2 linked regions of the Macaca fascicularis genome follow. The protein of the gene in region 1 purifies or fractionates together with the protein of each later gene. This does not show direct contact. Links are inferred from orthologs where the notes say so. Each region holds a gene or a part of one and is shown in the gene's direction. Other genes may lie near its edges. The genes, in order: SEC31A and SCYL1.

Evidence for each region.
Region 2: the proteins of SEC31A (region 1) and SCYL1 purify together in Homo sapiens (affinity purification with mass spectrometry; 3 studies listed by BioGRID and IntAct, counting the BioPlex papers as one, with this or other methods). This does not show direct contact. The link is inferred for Macaca fascicularis from reciprocal best matches to the Homo sapiens genes SEC31A and SCYL1.

Annotation. Positions count from the first base shown.
Region 1 is NC_088379.1:51,024,969-51,028,777, forward strand, and holds part of SEC31A (protein transport protein Sec31A), read left to right. Parts: intron 1-2,564; coding exon 2,565-2,684; intron 2,685-3,809. UniProt on the Homo sapiens protein: Component of the coat protein complex II (COPII) which promotes the formation of transport vesicles from the endoplasmic reticulum (ER).
Region 2 is NC_088388.1:8,833,281-8,837,578, reverse strand, and holds the end of SCYL1 (N-terminal kinase-like protein), read left to right. Parts: intron 1-52; coding exon 53-208; exon of another isoform or gene 209-634; intron 635-781; coding exon 782-970; intron 971-1,088; coding exon 1,089-1,164; intron 1,165-1,415; coding exon 1,416-1,580; intron 1,581-1,816; coding exon 1,817-1,959; intron 1,960-2,637; coding exon 2,638-2,709; intron 2,710-2,793; coding exon 2,794-3,009; intron 3,010-3,096; coding exon 3,097-3,151; intron 3,152-3,267; coding exon 3,268-3,392; 3' UTR 3,393-3,531; downstream 3,532-4,298. Other genes in the region: LTBP3 (latent-transforming growth factor beta-binding protein 3), read right to left, coding at 3,893-4,044, 4,138-4,269. UniProt on the Homo sapiens protein: Regulates COPI-mediated retrograde protein traffic at the interface between the Golgi apparatus and the endoplasmic reticulum. Involved in the maintenance of the Golgi apparatus morphology.

The DNA of each region.
Region 1 (3,809 bases):
CAACCTAAACAAAAAATAGTAACTTTTTTTTTAAAGATTGATCATGTATGTATATTATTTTTCAATTACATGGCCACATAAAAGAAGGTTATACATTTAAGAGTGTTTACTATAACTTGGCTAGGTCAGTAGCCATAATTTAAAATCAGATGAATCATCTCTGCATCTGAGGTTGCTAAGTAAAAGCTGTTTCCAAAGATTTTTCTCTTTAAAATAGAAAATAAAAATGTAGTGAGTTATATATTTTTATGTGTATGTATAAAAGCTAATAATACAGCCTTATCTTCAGATAGAGAAAAACATTTTTTACTTGCTTTTCACAACACAAACAGCCAGTTGGCAAAGTCCTGAATGTTGAAAAATTGAACACATTTCTACATAACACACTTAGACATAGTTAAGTATTTTGATCTATTCATGAGAAATAAAGAGCTTAGATCAAAGTTCAATATAAGAAGATGAAACAAACTCCTGCCCAAGTAAAAAAACTAGTTCTACTGTCTGATTCTGTCTTTGATTCATTGAAGTCAAATTTGTAAAGATTGTATCTCTTGTCACAAGAGTATACTTTACTGTTAAGAGATAATATGCCTGAAGCTGGGCACAGTGGCTCACACCTGTTATCCCAGCACTTTGGGAGGCCGAGGCGGGTGGATCATCTGAGGTCAGGAGTTCAAGACCAGCCTGGCCAGCATGGTGAAACCCTGTCTCTACTAAAAATACAAAAATTAGCTGGGCGTGGTGGCATGCGCCTGTAGTCCCAGCTACTCAGAAGGCTGAGGCAGGAGAATTGCTTGAACCCAGCAGGCAGAGGTTGCAGTGAGCTGAGATCGCACCACTGCACTCCAGCCTGGACAACAGAGCGAGACTCCATCTCAAAAAAAAAAAAAAGAAAGAGATAATATGCCTAAGGAATTTTTAAATGTTAAGAGTTGCATTTTAAAAACATTTTGACAAAGATGAGAAGAAATGGTTCTTTCTGGAAAAATAAAAATTACAGTTTTATTTAAATATAAAAATAAAAAAGATTACAAGCCTGTGTTATTTTGGGAAGCTACTTAGCCCTTATATTTGTTTAGACCTGGGTTCTCATGCTGTACTCGCCTAGACCTGAAGCTTAGTTACCATCAAAAGAGAAAGATACATAGTGTTCAGCCAGGCTATATACCCAGCTGCTTGCCTACTTGGATGTCTTGGAGGCACTTCAACCTCAGCATGTCCAAAACCTAACTCATACTCTTCTTCCCAAACTTAGTCATCTTTCCTTGTTTCCTGTTATCAGTGAGTGGCACCATAATCTTTTCTGTGGAATCCAGGCAAAAACCTGGGGATCATCTTTATACACTTTTCCCTTTAACCTCTATTTTAAATCTGTCTCCCGAAATCTTGTCGATATCACTCCAAAATATTTTTTGAATCCTTTCTTCTCCACGTTTTTACTCTAGTCCATGCTACCTTCATCTCTAATCTTCATCAGTGCAGGAACCTCCTAATTGGTCTGCTGATATCTACTTTGATCCATCTCTAATTTGGCCTTTTTTCGTCTTTGCCTAAAACATTACAGCTTCCCATCGTTCTCAGGATAAGGACCGAAATATTCAACATTGTCTGGAAGGCCTCAGCTCATACTCCTTGTTCTCTCTGCTCCAGCTATACTGACCTTTTAGCTCCCTTTTACCGTGATCCTTCCTTTGTACATGTTATTCCTTTCATCTGGAATGCTCTTTTTTCCTCACTTAACTGTTCAACTCCATTTTGTCCTTCCAGTAAAATTTCCTGAAGAGAGCCTTCCCTTCCCTCAGTCAAATCTCAGTTATAGCATCTTTTGTTTCCACCAAGTGTTAACGTACTACAGTTGCCATTTTACATACATTGATGATGTTTTTAAACTGTGCCTCTTCCATTAGCCTGTAAACTCCCTGAGAACTGAGATCATTTCTGTATTGGCTCACCAGTAGTACATAGCCAGTGCCTGGCACATAGTTGCCTAATATTTTTTGAATGAGTGAAAGAATGAACTAATAAAACTTAACCATTTCTTCTTTGTTCTTTCATCTGTACACTCAGCAGCATCGGGATGTCTTCTCTCTTAATCTTTGGCTTCATCTTACAGTTTTGATCACAGCCCAATTAACAACCTCTAAGAGTAAAAGAATAGAAGAATGCCAGCACACACGAGAATGAGCCAACAAGCAGAGCAAGCAGCCATTCTAACCAGCCAAGTGTGTTTTCCAGTGCCTTGTTTTTATTCTCTGCTGGCACATACTTATTTCCCATCAGTTATAAACAATATTGACCAACATATGTTACCTAATTAATCAACTACTTTGTATCCAGTCCTGTATATGAAAATCCAAACTGTAGGAAGAATGCCTACACTTTGTACTAGATATCTGGTTTTTATTTTTACTTATCCTAAGTGATTTCCCACATTAAATTTTAATTTGATTTTGAATAGGTCTATCTATAAGGTTGTCAGTTTCTGTTTATCATATAGATTCAAGATTGTGTATATAAGGTAGCTTCTGGTCGTTTCTGATCAGTTTTTGTTGTGTTTCTTCCAGCATGTGCAGTCTTTGCCAACAAAAAAAATTACCAAGAAACCTATTCCAGATGAACACCTCATTCTAAAGACCACATTTGAGGATCTTATTCAGCGCTGCCTTTCTTCAGCAACAGACCCTGTATGTATTTTTTTTTTAATCATATTTTGCTTAATTAGAAGAATCCTTGGCCAGGCGTGGTGACTCACTCCTGTAATCCCAGCACTTTGGGAGGCCAAGGTAGGTGGATCATTTGAAGCCAGGAGTTCAAGACCATCCTGGCCAACATAGGGAAACCCCATCTCTACTAAAAGTACAAAAAATTAGCTGGGTGTGGTGGAATGCACCTGTAGTCCCAGCTACTCAAGAGGCTAAAGCAGGAGAATCACTTGAACCCAGAAGGCAGAGGTTGCAGTGAGCCGAGATCGTGCCACTGCATTCCAGCCTGGGTGACAGCGAGAGACTCCATCTCAAAATAAATAAATAAAATAAAAGAATCCTTTATGGAGTTCTTCTATAATTATTGCTTGAAGTCCTACAAGGTATATTTCTAAAAAGTTTGCACAAAAGTAATAAAGCTAGCACTTACATAGTTTGCATTACATATAGAAATATATTTAATTGCTTTTTATATATAAATGTACTTAATCTTCACAATAACTTGTGGCAGATAGATTTGTCATTTTTATTTACAGACCAGAGAATTAAGGCAAAGAGCAGGTAAGTAACACTTAAGGTCAGAGCCAGCATTCAAACCCAGACATTCTGGCTCTAGAATTCATGCTCTCAACCACCAAGCTTTACTGCCTCTCATCAACAAAATGGTATTTGGCACATAAACAGAACATAATGGTGCTATGCAAGAAACTCAGATTTGGGATTTCTTTTTGAGCTTATATTGAAATTGTTAAAAGTAGATAGATCATCTTATAAAGCTTTGCAGAGATGTTAAAGATAGTTAAATGTTTTAGATATCGGAGGCATATTTACATTTAAAGCAACTGATTTTACTTAGTTTGCTTAGGATACCCCTGTATTGCAACAACATTCCACAAAGCCAGTCTTAAGTGAAATTTCATTTTCTGGTAGCACACATTGAATATTTTCAATCATTGGCTACTTGTCTGCATGAAAAAACAACTTCTGGGTTTTATTGTTCATCAGACATTGAGTATGAATATGTGCAGCCTTTGCTGGTCAGTGGCTTTGTGGAAAGCCATTCTCTGTACTGAAAGTATCAGGAAAGCTTCGTGTCTGACATTCTGG
Region 2 (4,298 bases), on another chromosome or scaffold:
GACTCTTTGCCCACCAAAGCCCACAGTTCCCCTGCTCATTTCTGCCCCACAGTCCATGCTGCTTCTGGCCCCGAAGCTGAACGAGGCCAACCTCAATGTGGAGCTGATGAAGCACTTTGCACGGCTACAGGCCAAGGATGAACAGGGTCCCATCCGCTGCAACACCACGGTCTGCCTGGGCAAAATCGGCTCATACCTCAGTGCCAGCGTGAGTGTCCTGCACAACTGCTGGAGCCTGGTCCCTGTCGCAGGACCACGGCCTCCTCCAGGGCCAGGAGTCCTGTGTGTGTGGGCCTTCATTCTCCCAGAGACCCAGGCCCTGAACGCTGTTGGTCCCATATCTGGGTTCCCAGAGGTGGAGTGAATTGGCCAAGGTCACACAGCCAGGAGGGTGGATCTGGGATCAGAATCCAGGCCTGCTTGGCCTCCCGGCCTGTGTGCATCCTCTCAGCCAGGGTTTGTAAGTTCAGATGCTTGCTGTGCCCAGACAGTTAACAGGAATGAACAATCAGCTGGGCAGGGAGGAAGGGAGCCTGTGTCCGAGCCCTGGGGATAGCTGCTGTTGTGGTCCCATGCCCTGAGGCAGTGTGGAGCCCAGTGATTTGGGAAGAGAAGCCCAGGTCCAGAGTTTTAGGTAAACTCTCCCCATTTAAGTGATTCATTTACATTTTTCAGATTCTGGGGGCCTACGTATGGCCCCGTTCTGGGAAGTAAGGGCTGGTGGTTCTGGGCCCCAACACTGACCCTCTACTCAGGAGCCCTCTTTCCTGCCCCATCATAGACCAGACACAGGGTCCTTACTTCCGCCTTCAGCCGAGCCACTAAGGACCCGTTTGCACCGTCCCGGGTTGCGGGTGTCCTGGGCTTTGCTGCCACCCACAATCTCTACTCAATGAATGACTGTGCCCACAAGATCCTGCCTGTGCTCTGCGGTCTCACTGTAGATCCTGAGAAATCTGTGCGGGACCAGGTGAGGCACAGCTGGGCCTGGCCTTGGGCTGGGGCTGTAGGGGATGTCAGGCCCTAGCTGGCCTGGTAGGTTCTTGGGAACCCCAGAGGCCCCAGCTCTGCCCCTTGTTACCCCACAGGCCTTCAAGGCCATTCGGAGCTTCCTGTCCAAACTGGAGTCTGTGTCGGAGGACCCGACCCAGCTGGAGGAAGTGGGTGAGTGGCCTACACTCGTGTTCCTTCTTTCCCTGCTATGTACTTGACAGTGACCTGTTTGTGTCCCACCCCCACTGGAGTTTCTGAAAGGCCCTTGTGAGCAGACTTGACTCAGCTCCCCCTTCACAGATGGGAGAAATCAGGCCTGGAGAAGGGAGTGGCGGCTACAGGGCACTGTCAATTCCTGCTGTCCTGTCACCCATGGGTACCTGACGTGCCCATACCCACCTCTCTCTCATGCCACTGCCCAGAGAAGGATGTCCATGCAGCCTCCAGCCCTGGCATGGGAGGAGCCGCAGCCAGCTGGGCAGGCTGGGCCGTGACCGGGGTCTCCTCACTCACCTCCAAGCTGATCCGTGTGCACCCCACCACTGCCCCCGCAGAGACCAACATTCCCCAAAGACCCACACCTGAAGGTGAGCGTCCTGGCCTGGCTGCATCAGTGACTGAGAGGGCTGGGAGCTGCAGGCACCCAGGAACTGTTACTGTCTGACTCCCCCGGGGATGGTGAGGGGAATATAGGGGCTGGGGTAGGCTCTAGTCACCCTGTGGGCTTCCTTGGCACCCCTTCTCCCCAGTAGCCCCCTTCCCCTAGCAGCCTCTGCCCTGTCCCAAGACTCCCCTGAAAGCTCAGTGAGCCTCTGCTCCCCAGGAGTTCCTGCCCCGGCTCCCACCCCTGTTCCTGCCACCCCTACAACCTCAGGCCACTGGGAGACGCAGGAAGAGGACAAGGACACAGCAGAGGACAGCAGCGCTGCTGACAGATGGGACGACGAAGACTGGGGCAGCCTGGAGGTGTGTGGGGCTGAGGGAGCCTCCCCAGGGGACCCCAGCTCAAATTCACAGGCTGCCATTCAGGGAGCTTCTGTGGGGCCTGGCTGGAGTTGGCCTGTCCTCATCTGCATAGCATCCCTGGCGCATAGGCTTCATGGAGTGGCCATTGTAGACCAGAGCCAACAGCAGGCCCCACTCGACCCGTGGCCCCAGGGAGCAGGCTGGGCAGATGGTGCCTGGGGCATTCCATGGACTTCCTCACTCTCACCCACACCATCCCTCTTCCCCCTCCTCCAGTGCCCACCAAGCCCTGGGGTCAGCAAGGAGAGGCAACTCCTAGGTCTAGAACCAGACCAGTTCTGCTTGGGGCATGGGTTCAGGATGGGCTGAGGGAGGACTGGGGCTGCCCTCAGAATGGGGCAGAGCTGGGGGCCCAATTTCCCCATCTGACTGAGAGCAGCATTTTCTGGCCCCCAAGGCTGTTGGAAGGGGCATCTAGATCTCATTCCCCGGGCTCAAAAGGGGGTTGAAGGCAGGCCAGGGTCAGCGTCCATTTAATATATGGGAAACAGAGCCTGAGGAGCAAATGAGGGGGAAGGCAAAAGACAGTGGTGGGGCCCGTGGCTCGGACAGTGCTGGGGCCGGCTCACTTGCCCTTTAGCATGCGGTGGGAGTCAGTGGTCCCTTCCCACACTGCAGCAGGAGGCTGAGTCCGTGCTGGCCCAGCAGGATGACTGGAGCACTGGGGGCCAAGTGAGCCATGCTAGTCAGGTGAGCTGGGTCAGGCGGGTGTGTGTGTATGGGGCCCTTTCCTCCCTGGGCCCAGGGCTACTTCCCCTTCCCGCTCTTCTACAGGTTAGCAACTCCGACCACAAACCCTCCAAATCCCCAGAGTCCGACTGGAGCAGCTGGGAAGCTGAGGGCTCCTGGGAACAGGGCTGGCAGGAGCCAAGCTCCCAGGAGCCACCTCTCGAGGGTACGCGGCTGGCCAGCGAGTATAACTGGGGTGGCCCAGAGTCCAGCGACAAGGGTGACCCCTTCGCTACCCTGTCTGCACGTCCCAGCACCCAGGTACCCAGCATGGGTCTGGCGAGAGGGTAGAGATGGTGGGCCTCAGCCCGAAGTGGGCCCCACTGCAGCCCACACTTTTCTTTACAGCCTAGGCCGGACTCGTGGGTTGAGGACAACTGGGAGGGCCTGGAGACGGAAAGTCGTAAGTGCTTCCCCTGGGCGGGCTGAAGACTAGGGCTCCCCGACCAGCCCGTCCCTACAGGCCCCAGGCAGGCACTGGCTGGAGAGCTGAGACCGGGGCTCCCTTCCTAACCCCAGGACAGGCCAAGGCTGAGCTGGCCCGGAAGAAGCGCGAGGAGCGGCGGCGGGAGATGGAAGCCAAACGCGCCGAGAGGAAGGCGGCCAAGGGCCCCATGAAGCTGGGAGCCCGGAAGCTGGACTGAACCGTGCGGTGGCGCTTCCCGGCCGCGGAGAGCCCGCCCCACAGATGTATTTATTGTACAAACCATGTGAGCCCGGCCGGCCCGGCCAGGCCATCTCACGTGTACATAATCAGAGCCACAATAAATTCTATTTCACACCCCCCTGTGCCGGGCCCAGTCTAGCCCGTGGGAGGTGGCTGGGGTCTGGTGCCGCGCTGTGCAGCCCGCGCCCACGTCAGACGTGAACATCAATTTGCTTCGAAAGACAAGGATAAAGAGGCACGATCTGATTTATCAGTTTCTAGGAAACACCCTCTGGGAGGAAGGCAGACAGCGCCCGCCGGGGACCTTACAACCGCCCGCCAACCGGGTGGGGCCGGTAGGGGCGCCGCGGGTCTCAAGGCGCAGGGAGGGTCTGCGGGCCCCAACGTCCCTGGGTCCGAGCCCCAAGTCGGGGCAGAAGTGAGGCCGAGCTCGCAGAAACCCCTCAGTGATCACCGAGGTCTGGGCCGAGGGCGGTGTCAGCGTCGGCGCTGGGGAACGCAGGCCCCGTGCGGGCGGCTGCGCGCGAAGCCGGCTTTGCAGACGCAGCGGAAGGAGCCGCTGGTGTTCACGCAGCGCTCGCTCTTGCACAGCAGCCCACGCTGGTTCAGCTCTCGGCACTCATCGATGTCTGCAGGTGGGGCGACAGGTGCGGCTTCGCTGAGCCTCCAGGCGGCTCCTCACCACAGGCCCCTCCCCTGCCCCACCCCAAAGCCCTGCTCACCCACGCAGCGGGCACGGGAGGCGTCGAGCTGGAAGCCGCCGGGACACTCGCACACGGCGCCGCCTGGCCGCGGCACACAGCGGCCACTCACACAGCGACACTCGTCTGAATCCTCCTCTGAACTGTCCTCATCTGCATGGCCCAGAACAATACGGCCTTCA